Tribolium castaneum: one gene and its partner. The protein of the gene in region 2 purifies or fractionates together with the protein of the main gene of each other region. This does not show direct contact. Links are inferred from orthologs where the notes say so. Each region holds a gene or a part of one and is shown on either strand. Other genes may lie near its edges.

Region 1 (4,000 bases), on a different chromosome or scaffold from region 2:
CAGTGAGAACAACTACAGGTACTAAGAATCTCTTGTATTGTACCCTATTTTTATTATTTTTTATGGTTGTTTTAGGTTCAGTGGAAAGCATCCCTGTCGAGTTGGATGGTAAAACACATTCACTACAGGAACTCGCCCAAATCATCAGGAAAAACCCGAAAACTTTGGTCATAAATATGTCAGTCTTCCCTCAAGCTATCCCTGCCGCCTTGAAAGCAATCGAAAAATCTGGAATGAATTTGAATCCACAACAAGACGGGACAACTCTTTTTATTCCCATACCTAAGTATTTTTATTGACAAGCTTTTTTCAACAGTGGTAATAAAACAAATTTAGGGTTACAACAGAACATAGGGAAAATTTGGCAAAAAGCGCTAAAACCATGTTTATTAAATGTCGCGATGGGATCAGAGACGTCCAGAATAAACAAGTCAAGTCTTTGAAGAAAAAAGACAAAGTTTCGGAGGACATGGCCAGAAATTCGGAGCAACAAATCGTCGCTATTGCAGATGCTTACATTGCAGAGGCTGAGAAAATACTGGAAAGTAAGCAGAAAGAATTAGTCGGGAAAAACTAATTATTCTTTCATGGGGTGATTCTGCTTAAAACTAATAGTTGCACCCAATTCAGCGCCCACTGTTTAATACGTAATGACTTTCTCTATGCCTGTGATTTTTTTCAGAATTTTTCTACCCATTTTTCATTTTTGCAACTACTTAAGAGTAGTTAATTAATTTTAATTATAAGAAATTGTAGAAAAATTCTGAAAAAATTCAGCCTTAGAGGGAAATATAGAGTATTTAATAGCAAACGCTGAATTCAGTGCGATAATTAGTTTTTGAGGTTTAGTAAAAAATACACTTGTAATAGACTCACCCTGTCTACATTACAAAATGCTGTGAAAATCTAATAAACGTGTCTTGGAACAGTAACTTCAATATGCAATTGCGAAATTAAAAATTTTTAAAGTCCACTGTCGCCTAAGGTGTTTAATAAATTTTAAAGTGTCAAAGTATTTTAAGTTAAAATATTTTTTAAACAATGTTGGTTATCCGCCTTAAACCGGATAATCAAAAGTAAAAAGTTTGATTTTACTCGGCTAATCAAGGTTCTGCTGTAACATTACATTGAAATTTCTTTAAATATAGCAAGCTATGCGAGATATACGTCAAGGAAATTCTCACAGCACTTTCGCTTTACGTACTTTGTACATTTAGGGTGAAAAAATAAACAACGATTTACAAATTACTTCGTTTATTGATTATTTAATAAAAGAATACAGTTTAGTAATATTTAGTGATCCTGTGCCGTGGCTGCCTCACTTACGACAGCCACGGCACAAAACCAATCCAATTTCTCAGAGGTAAAACACAACTGATTAACGAAAAATGAAAAGGCCCCATTATCCTTATTCCGTATCCATTGCTACAGCTGGAACCGGATCCCTGGGGCCCTGGTCTTGGTCCCCCGCCTCATCTCTGAGAGGCCCTGCTGGGGGCTCTTGAGCCCCACCCCCTCTCCTCTCCTCACCCTGAATCATAGCCAAGTAAGGCCCAGTTTCATCATCGACCAAAATCTTGAAGCTTTGTCCCTTGCCAACGTAACCGATGGAAACGTTTTTAATGGTTAAGTCGACTTCAGGGGGCAAAGTGTCCCTAAGAGCCCTCAAGCCGTGTTTAATCAGCTCTTCAAGAGAACACGAAGACAATTCCTCCAAGTGCTTCTCCAGGTAAGTCCTAGCGCTCTGCGAACGCGCCCCAATTGACATTGCCTTACAGTCGTAGTAATTGGCAGAGGGGCAGGTCTGGTAAATGTGGGCCCCCTGGTCGTCATAACCCGCCACAAGGAGCCCCACGCCGTAGGGCCTGCGGTCGTACCTCTGAGTGCACAACTGCATCTTGTTTCCCAGCTGGCTGATGAGGCGGTTTAGGGGCAAGTGGGTGTCGTGCGAATACTTGTAATTGAGGCATTCAGTCCGCATGTAACGGCTCAGGATTCTGGCGTCGGCTGTGAGGCCTGAGATGGTGATTCCGATGTGGTCGTCGATGTTGATGATTTTCTTCTGGTAGGCTGATAGTTCAGACGAGGCTCTTTTGAGGGCGATGAGAACGGCGTGAGTCTTGCTTTTGAGACCCACGGTGGCGGAGCCCAAATTTACGGCCTCCATGGCGTACTCCACCTGGTGGAGGCGGCCCTGGGGGCTCCAGACGGTCACGTCGCTGTCGTATTGGTTGCGAAACATTTCTAACACTGATTTTTACTGAACTTTACCGGTTTTGTTTTTATAACCATGTAATGCTGCTGTGTCACTTGCGGATATTTTTGACAGAATAAGACATACGTTTTTGACAGTTTCGATAAAAAGGTCTCTGTAAAGAAAGGCTAAGAAAAATATTTTTACGCTAGAAAAGCTGCAGGTTTTGATGAATATCTTAGTTAATTATATTAATTATTATTATACAAATGTAAAAGTTGTAGAACTAAATTTCTTATAAGCATAGGAAACTGTAACATTTTCTACTGATGGTTAGCCAGTCTGCGCTTGATAGAATTCTTTATTTTAAGTTTAAAAATTTACCATAGTTAATTAGTATTAGGGTCATACAAACGCAAGGACATTTTTAAACTTTAGTACCTTTTTGCGTTCTTGTAATCGTGGTACCAATAATTTAAAGATTTGTCTGCAACCAGCTATACACTTGTGTGTATTGTGCATCCAAATTGCCTAGCCTTAGCATTTTTTTGTAGAAACAGTTTAGTAAAAGTTTGTTGTTATTTTAAAGTAAAATGTGTAGGTATTAAGGTCACAGGAACGCAACAAGATTTTTAGAAATTTTAACTTTTTTGATCCAGGTACAAAATCCATTTTAAAACTTTAATGTGTATTAGGATCACAAGAAAACAAAGAGGTTTTTATATTTTTTACCTCTTTGCACTCCTGCGGTCCTGGTCCAAAATCAATTTTGAAATTTTCGAATAATTATTTAAAAGTATACAATTGTAAATGGTCTTAAAAAATTTACAGGTTACTGTAATTCGCTGTTTTACAGGAGCATGCAAAGATGACACATAAAATTTTATAGGTACCTATAAAAATAGTACTCTAATATTCAGTAATTAGATGTCATCACCATGTATAGATAGTCCTGGTGAACCAACTTCCCTTATTTTCCATTGTCGGGCGCAAACCAAAATGTGGAGCAAGTTGGAGCTTTTATTTTATCTGACAGATGGCACCAGCGTAGACTGGGACTGTCACAATGTTTACAAGAAAAAAGATACACGCATCACGTTGTTAAAAATACGACATTTATGAAGAACAATTAATACCTGAAGGATGCCCGTACCGAATGGTAGTGGAGTTTTTTTTCTGGAAAGCATTTATTCTGACTTCAATGTTTCGATGTCTTTCGCGGCCGAAAATGCATCGAACCGAAGTTTAGAACTATTCGGAAAATATTATTATTTCAGCGCGAAAAAAGCAGAAGTTGTTACAAGATGACTAACTTGGGTGCTGAGATAACATTTTTTAATTTCGCATCATTTTTTTATAAAAAACAAAGAAAATTTCTGAAATTGTGACAGTCCCAGTCTACCGTGCTGCCATCTATCAACTTGCTCCAGCGTTAGAATCAATTATAATAGCGAGTTGGTTTACCTGTCTGTCTCTATACCGTGGATGTCATTACCTCTCCTAAGACAGTGACATCTAGGTGTCGAATACATAAATTTAATTTTACAGGAAACTATAAAAAATTATGCCATCTATGTACATATTTTTAAAACAATGGTTTACAGTAACCTGTAAATTTTTATGGAGCATTTTAATTAACAATTTTGGAATAATTTAAAATTAAAATGTATATCAGGTTCATAGGAACGCAAGAAGGTCTTTAAAAGTTTAAAAACTTTTTTGCGTCCTTTGATCCTAATATACATTTCGGTTTTAAATATTTGTTTGTTTTGAATAGGTTTGGTTTTAGGTTGTGTGGCCCTTTTC
Region 2 (5,173 bases):
TCTATTAGCTGTTTCAAAACTATTAAACCGCCAACATCCCATTTTCTCTCTGTTATAAATTATTCATTCACTTAAAAAAAAAATAAAAGCTAATTTAATTTATACTTTCAATGAGAGATCGAATCAATATTAACTATTTTACAATTTTATCAATCTTATTTAAAAAAATAATTTGGTAAATTGCCACATTGGCGTTTTTATAGTTTTGAAACAGCTAATAGCTCTTTTTCTGGCTTCAGTCATTCCTGCAACAAAACTTTTTTTTTAATAAAATCGATTTAAAAATAAAAACTTGAGCAATTTTCTCACTAATTTTAATTTCGTTGGATTATTTTATTGTTGATATCAGAAATAAAAAAAAATCCGCAACATTTTCACGCATTTGTAAACTGTTGACAACTAAATGATAGGCATTTGACGGATTGAATTAACTAACAACACCAGATAAAACCTCACGGTGCAGCGCGAATTATTTAAATTCCACTTTTACAGTGTTTTTCATATAAATTTACGCAAGTAAAATGCCACCAACAATACATATTCCGATACGAACCCGATTAAATTTTGAAAAATTGAATAGTCATGTCTTGTTTGTTCACTTCTTCAAAAAATACGTTTTTAGCAATTTTTAGTTAGTTAGGGATTAAAATAAATCAATTAAAATCATGTTCTAATGAAAGTCTCTTGATAGAACACATGCCAAAGAAAGAAACAGACATTAGTTTGACAACTACTATCATGGTTTTCCAAAAATTAAATAATTAAATGTTTATTTTTTTATCCTAGTGTTTTGTGACTTTTTTGGTGCGCACACGAGGCGCAGGCCTTGTAAAGTTTTATAAAACACCTTGTATGTCTGTAAGTCAAGCTTTGTCAATAAGCGTTACCATAAGCCGAATCGGTGCAGTTAGGTCATAGTACTACAAATTTAAAATTTATGCACCGTTCCATATTTTTCAAAACACTATATGAATACGGTTAAATATACACGAAAAATGTAAAGTGTCCTACGCGAAAAACCATGACTTTGTCTCAAACATTTTAAAAGAGTCCAAAGACGTTGAGTGGGGGACACTTAAAAACAAATTAAACCTAATCCACTGAAGACAAAAATAGGCCTAACGGACTTTTTTGAAGAAAATTCAATTCGCCACTATTCGATGGATATTCGTATTATTTTGGAAAATATGGAACAAATAAATTAGGAAAAAATTGATTTTTTTTTAATAAAGTTTACTATAATTTTCCCCATTACCTTTATCTTTCACTATAGAGAATTTAATGCTGTATATGTTGGGCTTGTCGTTGTTTAAATGCAGCTATTTTTTATTTTACTGGTTTTAAGAAGTAAGCGTACTAAAACCAGTTAAAAAAATTCTGCCGCTCAAATGAGTAGCTTTTCTGTCTTTATTATTTTCTTTTTCACCTCATGTGAAAAACTCAACCTCAACCACCCCTCCACAGTAAATTAGTATGTAAATTTCGTTTCGCATTTACCCCGAAGTATAGATCACACAGCAGAAAAGTTATGAATAGTCAAGAGTGTTTACCATTTTGTCCACTTTATACTTATTTGTGGCACCCCCTTGTAGCTACTTCCCTGCATCAGCCACTCAGGAAATTTTAGACGAGTTCAGGCCTCGCTTATGTCCAATGAGCAGCCCCACAATCCTCTCAGCCATCCAATACCTTGAAATTTTCTTACCTGTTTGCGTCAAACCCGAGGAAGCTGCCATTAGTTACGATTTATGGTTTGAAGAACTTATGACGCTGTGGAACGCTTGTCATAACGCAAGTGCTTGGGAAGATGTGAGCGATTTCATTGTTTCAGTCCCAAAACTACAATTAATTTTAGCACATGATGTGGATGATTGCGCGACTATCCAGCTACACCATGGGGTATATCAATTGGGAGCCCTACATTCCCATGATGTTTGTGCGATTTTCGCGCAGTTTTCAGTTACCTGTAGCTTATAGACAGAAACAAACCGGCAAACAATACAAAATCGAAATTTCCGCAATGGCGATTTGGATAACATGCGCTTTGAACGGTGATAAAAATTCGACTTTCTTTCATTTGGAAAAGTTCATGCAAGCGCTGGAATCCTACTACTATCCGGCAAATATGGGCCGATGGTCGATGAAGTTGAGGGAATTGTTGCGAAAACTTGCCTATTATTTCGTGCAAAGGGTGCATTGTGAACGATACAAGAAAAAAACGTGGGATACGAACATTCCAGATCATTATAAATTGACCGACGAGGATATTGATAGATTCGTCAATATTATGAAGCCGTGTCTTGAGCAGGCAATGTTTTCGAGACAAGGGGGGCAAGATATCATCCTAGCCTTGCAATATCTGGGGTCCCTAAGACCAAACCTGGTCATTCCAATGACTTTGGATAAATTGTATGCTTCAATGGATAGTCTCACAGAGCCGCACAAACTGACGTCGTCCATGATGGGCGTGACGGCAGTGGCAAGGTACATGGTACAAGGGGCGCGCAGCAACTACCCAGAAGGATTCACCCATGTGCTTCCACTCCTAATGGCCTTACTCCCAGGGATTGACCCGAACGATATCCGAAAGTGTTTAGTGACTTTCAACTTCATGGTTCATTTTATTAACATGATTCCGTTGATCAATTGTTCCGAAGCGAGTAAATATCACGATGACTTGACGGAAGAAGAACACATAGTTTGCGAAGCCAGCGATGGTTTCGAAGATTTCGTTTTGCAATTTTTTGACAGACTGTGTCTTTGGGTCGAGTCTAATTCCCTAGACTTTGTTAGACTAGAACAGGATGCTAACAGCAACAATAATAAAAATCGGGCCGAAGTGATCGCCGAAACGGCCCTTTTCTCGATCATTTCAACAGTTTTACACCAGTGCTCGCCAGAAATTTTCACAGTAAGTAATTGGCTTTAATTGGGTGGTGAAAACGGGAAAACACAGTTAACTTTTTAGGCCGCTCTTAAAAAAGTGTTCAATTTCGTAAGTGACAAAGTAATGGAGATACAAATTTCGGGCAAAATGACGGCGATTATATGCCAAGGCTTTGCCAAAGTCAATCCTAAGGAAACCCTGAAACTGTTCATTCCACACTTGTGTGATATCATCGAAGGCTTAATGAACGAAAACCCAAACATAGAAAAAGAGGAACATCTCGACGCTGAATTGCTTTACAATTTGCAAATTTTATCAGAAGTTGTGGATGCCAGGACCGAACTTGTTACGTATTCCGACAGGTTGATGAAAATCCTTGATAGGACTTTACACATGAGTTCGTTGAGTGGTAGTCAGATGGCATCACGCATGCTTGAAGTTATGATGACCTCACTGACTTACATACTGCCAACTGAATACCGAAGTTGTTCGACACCGTATGACACACATGTTAAGGACTTTCTCTCGATAAGGTGATGCTTCGTTTAAGTGTTTTTTACTTAACATGATTTGGAATTTAAAGAGAGTGGGGCAAAGCTCAAAATATCAAAGATCTGGAAATCTCGTGGTACGTCCCTGGAGATAAGGAAATCGCCTTAGTTCAGTCACTCATTAATAAGTATTTGGTACCCGAAGTTTCAAAACTTAGCAAACACGCCTCTGGAGAGTCAGTCCTGACGAGAGAAGAGCTGCGAAGGTCGCTTAGGATAGTAATTTCGATATTGTCATCACATCCAGTGTTGCCAATCTGGGACGAACCTGCGATACAGCTGTACCAATTCTAAAAACTCGATTAAGCCACTACTAAGTTTAAATGTTTTAGGGTCGACTCGGTTTTAGATCCGTGGGCTTTCAATCTAATCGTGAGCGATTCTCATGCTGTAAATATGCCAGACGGCTCAAACATCCGAAAAGTGATAGCAGATTTGATGCATAAAGTCCAGAAAAAAATCCTAGAAGTGGACGAAGGTGACACTAAAAGCATCCACAACATTGTCCATGTAATTAAATAACGATAGAAGACTCACCCACTCACTCACATTAATTTTTCCAGATCTACAATATACTTCTTTTCAACAAATCACGTGTTCATGATTTCGAGTATCAATGGAAGAACTTCCACTTGGTGAAAAAACTACTCGAAGACCGTTTACACCAAAATAAACTGCACTTGCGACATATCCTTATCAACAGAGTGATGTTGCAGCAAGAATTTAGAATAGAAAGTCGTAGCTGTTCATTCACAGAAACCCACAAACAGATTCTTTTGGACCTGTTTGAACTAAGTGTGTCGCGATATAGCGAGGTACTTCTTTTTTTTTTTTCACCTACCAATGCTAATTACAAATTTCAGGTGAGAATTTCAGCACAGTCGAAGCTATTTTCTGTAGTGTCATACTTCCCATACTCTTACACCGTTCTCACATCGCGTATATTCGAAATCTTAAAACTAAACTCAGAAGAACACCATGAGAAGTTCAAGGGTTGTTTATACATTTTGATAAGTCCGAAAAATACACCAATAGTGGCACGTCACGACTGGAATTTTATTCGCCAATTGTGGCCACTTATCATCAAGTCGATGCCATCCGAAAAACCCTCAATTGTCAATTTGATAAATGCGATAGTCGACGCTGTTAACCGATTTTTCCCGACCATTGCCATTAACTTGGTTTTTCCGCAAAGATGTCTAGACGATGCCACTTTGCTAAGTCAAAATGTGCCCAAATGCGACCTGACCCACTTCCAAAAATATATGGACGAGGGCGAGAAAACGCTACAAATTAAATGCCAAAAGCGCGCAGTTGCGTACAATGAGACAGTTGATGGGCTTTTGGATGCTTGTATTAATGGAAATTTGTAAGTTTTGTCCCAGTTTGTGAATATGATAATAATTCGTTTAAAGGCACTGGAGGTATCACTCAATGGCTGTTACGTTCCTAAAGGTGTTAGTACACTATGACGTTAAATACAACGTGAGGATAGTGAAGTATTTTCTACAAGCCTTAATAAATGAGTCTATAACCATTAGAAAAACGGCATTAAGAGTCTCTCTGTTTATTTTAATTCAGAATAAACCCAAATTTACGAAAATTGAAATTGATCCCTACGGTTTCTCCAACAGTAAAAGAAATAACCACAAGTTGAGGCCCGGAATAAGAGAAGACAATAAATGGTTATTGTACGACAGTAAAACGGTCCCGAAAGATTCAGAAGCGTGGGAAA

The links. Proteins that work in one complex are often made in the same cells at the same time.
Region 1: the proteins of proteasome activator complex subunit 4 (region 2) and proteasome subunit alpha type-1 purify together in Homo sapiens (affinity purification with mass spectrometry; 4 studies listed by BioGRID and IntAct, counting the BioPlex papers as one, with this or other methods). This does not show direct contact. The link is inferred for Tribolium castaneum from reciprocal best matches to the Homo sapiens genes PSME4 and PSMA1.

The regions. Positions count from the first base shown.
Region 1 is NC_087394.1:35,800,840-35,804,839, forward strand, and holds proteasome subunit alpha type-1, read right to left. Parts: upstream 2,352-4,000; 5' UTR 2,243-2,351; coding exon 1,409-2,242; 3' UTR 1,238-1,408; downstream 1-1,237. Other genes in the region: mRRF1 (ribosome-recycling factor, mitochondrial), read left to right, coding at 1-18, 76-286, 337-577. UniProt on the Homo sapiens protein: Component of the 20S core proteasome complex involved in the proteolytic degradation of most intracellular proteins. This complex plays numerous essential roles within the cell by associating with different regulatory particles.
Region 2 is NC_087396.1:18,346,372-18,351,544, reverse strand, and holds part of proteasome activator complex subunit 4, read left to right. Parts: intron 1-1,592; coding exon 1,593-1,809; intron 1,810-1,855; coding exon 1,856-2,911; intron 2,912-2,968; coding exon 2,969-3,420; intron 3,421-3,470; coding exon 3,471-3,719; intron 3,720-3,770; coding exon 3,771-3,948; intron 3,949-4,001; coding exon 4,002-4,253; intron 4,254-4,301; coding exon 4,302-4,807; intron 4,808-4,853; coding exon 4,854-5,173. UniProt on the Homo sapiens protein: Associated component of the proteasome that specifically recognizes acetylated histones and promotes ATP- and ubiquitin-independent degradation of core histones during spermatogenesis and DNA damage response.